Danio rerio: one gene and its partner. The protein of the gene in region 2 binds, or shares a complex with, the protein of the main gene of each other region. Links are inferred from orthologs where the notes say so. Each region holds a gene or a part of one and is shown on either strand. Other genes may lie near its edges.

Region 1 (2,775 bases), on a different chromosome or scaffold from region 2:
AACACGAGAGTGATTCAACTATTGCCATTTTTGTTGAACAAAACCTTTTAGTACTGTGAGTGAAACTATGAGATATTTTCATTTAAACACAGCCATATTCCTACATTTTCAGCAGCCATTGCTATTCAAGTTCCACTGGGAAGATTAATGAGTTGGAAAGACACAATTATGAGTTCAATAGCACCTTTTTGATTGAACCAATATTGCAATGTTCATTTTCAAACCCATTTCTCACTGCTGTCATTTTTCTTGTGTTTATTTGATTACTCAGAAGAAAGAGAACAGCACATATACTTATATATTCATCTCAGCAGTGTTGGCGTGTTACAGCCTCATTTTACTTCCAATCATTTCTGTGAAACTATGTTTTTACAGTTGTTTTGACCAATTTAATGGATTCTTGATGAATAACAGTATACTGTTTTATATTTTTAGAAAGGCCCAATGGGTGACCTTTAACTTGGTGTGTCCTGGTTTTTTTAGATTTCAGTACTTTGTAACAAAAAATAAAACTTAAGTAATGTTATGTAATTTTAATGTGCTTTTATTTATTCTTTTTTTTTTTTTTGGTAAAAACATGTCATTTGAGAAGAATCTTATCAATATAAAGACAAGGTAAAAACAGACATATGCAAGTTTTTCAATGTTGAAAAGACAGTTTGTGTCTTAAACAGTGAATACAAGTAAGAGCCCTGTATTTTCCTTAGGTTCTACAAAATCATTCATCCTGGAAGAAGGAGTCTAAATCCCCCATCTCCTCTTGGGCCTGTTTAGGGTTTGCCTGAGATGGACGGGACGCACTGGGAGGATTTTCTTGGCTTTTTTGTGACATCTCCACTTCTTTCTTGATGCCTTGGCCTCCACCCAGAAGCTTCTGGCTCTCTGTGAAGTACTGGTTTGGATGATTGAGAGAAAACCCAGCATCCTCAACCTGTAACAAACAAACAAGACAAAATGTAAGCAGAAGACAGAAGCTCCATCCAAAAATGCTAATTAAATTTATTTGCAAAACTAGAATATCGCAATAAAGCAGCATTTCCATCCAAAGACAACAAAATAGTCACTTCCTGATTAACTGGTGCCAAATACCAACAGTAAAATCGGAATTTGCAGCAAAAGCTGCATGAATCTTTACTTTATTTAATAAATGACTTGCTCCTCACTAGACAATGCCGACATGCAATGAACATGTGGTATCATTTGAAGGTGTGAGACGCGGGGCACAGACGCTCTTGACAGTTCTGGAGGTCATTAATAATATAACACTAATACTGAATACTGATACAGTTACTGCATTTTAAAGTGACCAAAACAACATTTCAGATGTTTTACCGTGTGCTCAGATGCTGGTTTCTCCATTCACACATTTTAACATCATATAATCTCACAGAACAAAATCACATAACTTTTTTTTTTGCGTATACTGAAGTTTGTTTAATTAATATGTTTCCATCACAGTTTATGCGCATTTCTTCTTATCGAACAAAACATTTATGCTAATTATCCAGTTATGCGCAAACATTTTTATGCGCATTTTGAAAATTGATACGCATCTTGGCATTTCCATCAACTATTTTTTATGCGCATATCCAAAATGCAGATAATAATAGGTGGATGGAAACATAGCTAGTGTCTCCAGTCTCAATATGAGGATATAAACAGAGGAACTTCATCTCTATACAGTAGCTGCCCAGACTGATCTTCAAAATTATGTGTGAAAAACTTTAATATCATCAACTCAAGCACTTTCATGACAACTCTTTAATTTAAGTTTAACCAAAAATAAAAACGGATAGAAATATATAATGTATTATACACTACACTAATACTAATTATTGTTATTGCATAAATAATAATACAAAAAATTTATATATATATATATATATATATATATATATATATATATATATATATATATATATATATATATATATATATATATATATATATAAAATAAAAATAAACGTTTATTGATTTTTCTTTTAAAGGAGTAATCATGGATCGGAAATAAAGGGAATGGTTACATTTAATTTTGACAAAGCGTTAAAACATTAAACATTTAGTTTTTTCATTTAATTTTAACATTTAATAAGTAATTACATTATTTTGACAACAAATTTATATTAAATCCTAAATCCAGAAAATGAAAAGCGAAAATGAAGAAATTAATTAAAAAAAAAAAAAAAAAAAAAAAAAAAAAAAAAAAAAAAAAATATATATATATATATATATATATATATATATATATATATATATATATATATATATATATATATTTTCCTTTTTAAACATTTCCAAAATTATGTTGAACAGAGCAAAGAAATTTTCACAGTATGCCTGATAATATTTTTTCTTCAGGAGAAAGTCTTATTTGTTTTATTACGGCTAGAATAAAAGCAGTTTTTCATTTCTTAAACACCATTTTAAGGACAAAATTATTAGCCATTCTTTTTCGATAGTCTTCAGAACCATCGGTTTACAATGAATTACCTAATTACCCTAACCTGCCTGGTTAACCTAATAAACTCATCTTTAAATGTCACTTTAAGCTGTATAGAAGTGTCTTGAAAAATATCTAGTCAACTATTATTTACTGTCATCATGGCAAAGATACAATAAATCAGTTTATTTAGAAATTAGTTATTAAAACTATTATGTTTAGAAATGTGTTGAAGAAATCTTCACTCTCCGTTAAACAGAAATTGGGGAAAAAAATAAACAGTGAGGCTAATATTTTAGGGGTGGGGGGTGGCCTAATAATTCTGACTTCAACTG
Region 2 (4,378 bases):
TTCTGGTTTCTGTAAAAATTAATGATTTTCACTGCCTGATTCATATATTAAAAAGTGGGTCTCAGACTGGACAAGAAGCACTGCATTAAATTCCATTGTTCCATGCGGTGTCTTAAAATATGGAAATTTATGTTACCCCAGTATTTTAATTAAGTTTCTGCACTAGCCTGCTGCTCCTGGCGAACCAATCAATTTTACACTTGAACAACTAAATGAATGCTTACGTCTGTTTAACTGATTATAATTTAAATACATCACATCATCAATGCTGTAAAAGGAACCTTATGAAATTTAAAATAGCCACAGTAACCTTTAACCGGAGGTTAATCTGTGACTGAAAAACACTTGCAGACCATGCATTTTTATCTATCTTCATACATTTCCAACAAGTCTCCCTCATTATTCTGTCTTTATTTAGTCTCACCTTGGCAGGTGTTGAATAGGAATCCAGCATGTTCTCCTCTTCCTCCTCTGCTCTGATTCTGCAAGACTCAGTTAAGAAGATCACTTTGAACATTTATGAATAAAAATTAAACAATCATTAATCTTTATGTTGAGCTTTATGAGGATACAGCTCCTGGATGGAGTTGATGTCTCTGGTTTTGTTTATTTGGCTTCCCTTTGAGGTGCTTTTAGGCTTTTTCTTCTTGTTCAGTACCTGTAAGGAGTGCAGAAGCAGTATGCAAATTAGGGCTGCACAATCCTAGAAAAATTTGACATTGCAATATTTTATTTGTCTGTAATGTACATTGCGATACACTGATGCTATACAGTTCCACCAAATGACTAAATAGTTTTTTGGTCACACTATTTTAAGGTTCAATTCTCACTCTTAGCAAACCCTTATGACTTTTGCTTCAATAAACACCTAATTTGCTCCTTATTAATAGTTATTGTGGTTGTTTGTAAGAACTAATAAGAAGCCAATATATCAACAACAAGCATGCTAATAAGCAATTTGTTAATAGTGAGAATTGGTCCCTAAAGTGTTAACAAATGTATTATATCTGTTTGATTGGGATGATTTTAAAAGGGAGTAAATCGCATAAAATGTAGTACACTACAGGCATAGATAAATGCAACAAAGCAAAAAAAGGTGTAATAAACAGTGCAAGCTTTATGGTTTTGTATATGTAAATGTAAAAATAAATTACACCGCAAAGTCAACTCAACATTGCATATCTATGTAATGTGACTGAGGATTCACACATTGCAATATCAATGCTGAAAAGATATACAGGAATACTGTATTGTTTAGCTCTAAAGCAAATGAAGCATAGAAACATTGTGGATCTTATTTTTGGCATCTCAAAGCACTGCAGAATTTCAGTTGGAGTTTTTAATGTCATTTTACTAACTTCTTGTTCAAACTGGTCCAGGTTTTCGAGAGTGAGCGGCAGCTGCTTTCTGGTGGAGCTAAAAGCAAACCACTCGAATACAATTTCTTCACCCGTCAGCCTGTGACAAAAACACTGCTCCAACACTACAATAGAAAAAAAAACAAAAGTCATGTGTATTTAATTGAGGTAAAGTTTTTCGCACATTCGTTCAGTGACAACTTGTGACATGCTCCCTTTATTGTTCACCGTGGCAGGGCTCAACAAGAAGATGGCCCAGGCCAGCGTGTGAAATGCTCAGGACAGTAGACAGGATTGTTACTGGCCCAATCGTACCAGTGCTTACTAAAGTTTAATTTGCCTGCGACAATGTCAATTGCGTCGAAATACAGTCTTAGAATCGAGAAACAGTTTGTGCTGTTAAGCCTTTAAATGCTACCTTCTCTGTGATATCAAAAACACCATATTGCTTTTCGGGTCCTCTTATGTGACTAGATGTTGTGAGCATGTTTTTTTTGTTTCTGGTCTCAGCGACGAGGCGGTAGCATAAAATTATGAGGCTAAACGAAAACGTTTGTTTCTAAATTCTTAGTAGCAGATGTGGATACAACACAACGAAAAAAATGAAGTAATGTTTGCACAGTTAGTTTTCAGTTTGGCAAGTCAGCCACCATTTGTTAAATAATGTAGAGCTGCAATAAAACACCGGCACATTTTCCATACTGCTCTATTTGTTTGCATAACACTTTGAATTTTGCTCACAATACATTTTAAAAATATATACATCTTAGATTATTTTTGACACATTCTTTAAAATGTGTGGCTAAAAAAAATAGCAATTATTTTTTTTTTGGGTGGGGCCAGTAAAAATATTGGCAGAGCAAGAAAATATCTTAACCACTTGGGTTAGTTGAAAACTCTGCATGGTAATTTGAATATTCAGTCTAAAATCACATGTAAGCATGACTTGAAAACAACACTGGTACTATTTATTTGACTCCAAACAATGTTGTACTTTGATAGTCATTTGCTGCTAATATGATTTCAGTTTTTTTTTTGCAATAAATAATTTCTGAAGTTATTATTATTAAGGAGAAAGTCCTAATGTGTGAACATAAAACCAAATTTACCTCAATGTGTATTTGTAAGTACTTGCCTACAAACACACAACCACATACATGTATATTTGTGTGTTTAAAATTAAGAGATGCATATATTTTAGAGCATTAAATCATGTCAACAATACTAAAATCACACACAATGAATAGATTGGACATTTACTTTTGTCGATGGTGTCATTGTTGAAGGCTATGTTGAAAGTGTCCAGCTCAGACTTGATGTCCTCTGCAGTGACTGAAGCCATTGTTATTGTCCTCTGATGTTCAAATGTAAAAAAACAACCTCCTAAAAAAGAAAACAGGTTTTTCAAAAACATTCACACCACACAATTATTAAAACGGACTTATAACAGTCAGAAATGTTAAGTCTCTCACTAAATACTAACGTAAACACAATGGCGCTCTCGCGAATTCACTTATTTAGCTTTATAAACAGTTTTACTCAACATAACAGCAAGTTCGAAATAAGACAATCCTAATGAACACGTTTTAATGACTTGTATGACAAGATTACCTTTTATTAAACGTCAAAATCAGCTGTCATATTCCTCAGCAGTCTTTGCATCACGTTCGGATTGCCGCGAAAATGTACTACCCGCAAAACCCACTGAAAGGTCACTTCCGGTTCCTGCACGTCTCCTCCAGAACGGCAGAGGGAGCGCAAGGTCAACCGCAACCGAATTTCCTCCCAGATCAGCTGAAAGGAAACAGAATAAACCCTGTAGCTTCTACACGTGTTTGTGGTGCTGTAAACGTATAAGTATTTTTGTGATTTACATCTTACTTTTCACTGTCGCTGATATTATTTGTCAAAATGCCGAAGGTTAAAGCCGAGAAGAAGTCTCGAACACACCAGGAGGTGAAGAGTCAAGGTTGGTTTGAAATGTTTTAGTACTGCATGCTGTCAAACCATTTAATCAAATGTCCCCTTATAGATATAATAATCAAAGTTAAACCTGTAATATATTTAAAATTTAAATAATATAAACCTTTTAGAACTTGCTAGTAACACTTCCTGGTCACTTCTTACTCCAAAACAGAAGAGGAGGCATTATAGCTATTTTTAGGTCCAAAATGTTTACTTTCATTCATCTCATGTATATAAATTAATCCCAGTTGTTTTGACTTATTTTATACAGTATTTGCACCTCTAAAACACCAGTTAACATTTATAAATTAAACCAGGAAATGTACAGTATATTTATATGTTTACTGTGTATATTCAGTTTTCTCACAACAGTGATGTCCCAAAGCAAAACAGTCGGTCTTACTCCCCATAAACACTGCACTATTTAATATTTATACGTATTCATTGCACTTTGTTGAACTAATTCATCTTGAATTGTACATGTCCACTGCACATATACGTTTGTAATTGTTCACACAGCTTAAATCAGAGTTTTATATATATTTTCTTTTTTTTTAATGTTTTAAAAATTATGTTTAACAGATCAAGGGAAATTTCACAGCATGTCTGATAATATTTTCTCTTCTAGAGAAAATCTCATTTGTTTTATTTCAGCCAGATTAAAAGCAGCTTTTAATTAAAAAGAAACATTTTGGGGTTAATATTATTAGCCCCTTTAGGCTATATATATTTTTTCCAATAGTCTACCGAACAAACCATTGTTATTCAATAACTTGCCTAATTATTCTAACCTGCCTAGTAAACCTATTTAACATAATACTTTATGCTGTGTAGAAGTGTCTTGAAAAATGTCTTGTAAAATATTATCTACCTTGATCATGGCAAAGATAAAATAAATCAGTTATTAGAAATTAGTTATTTAAACTATTATGTTTATAATTAGAAATGTGTTGAAAAAAATATCTCTGTTAAACAGAAATTGGGAAAAAAAATAAACAGGGTCTAATAATACAGGGGGCTAATAACTCTAACTTCAACTGTATATATCTGCATAT

Evidence for each region.
Region 1: pola2 (region 2) and prim2 share a complex: the UniProt entries of both Homo sapiens proteins name them as parts of the alpha DNA polymerase complex. The link is inferred for Danio rerio from reciprocal best matches to the Homo sapiens genes POLA2 and PRIM2.

The regions. Positions count from the first base shown.
Region 1 is NC_133188.1:26,670,541-26,673,315, forward strand, and holds the end of prim2 (DNA primase large subunit), read right to left. Parts: intron 932-2,775; coding exon 719-931; 3' UTR 532-718; downstream 1-531. UniProt on the Homo sapiens protein: Regulatory subunit of the DNA primase complex and component of the DNA polymerase alpha complex (also known as the alpha DNA polymerase-primase complex) which play an essential role in the initiation of DNA synthesis.
Region 2 is NC_133183.1:19,039,701-19,044,078, forward strand, and holds the start of pola2 (DNA polymerase alpha subunit B), read right to left. Parts: upstream 3,070-4,378; 5' UTR 2,970-3,069; intron 2,742-2,969; 5' UTR 2,701-2,741; coding exon 2,619-2,700; intron 1,484-2,618; coding exon 1,359-1,483; intron 659-1,358; coding exon 573-658; intron 483-572; coding exon 425-482; intron 1-424. Other genes in the region: dimt1l (dimethyladenosine transferase), read left to right, coding at 3,270-3,327. UniProt on the Homo sapiens protein: Accessory subunit of the DNA polymerase alpha complex (also known as the alpha DNA polymerase-primase complex) which plays an essential role in the initiation of DNA synthesis.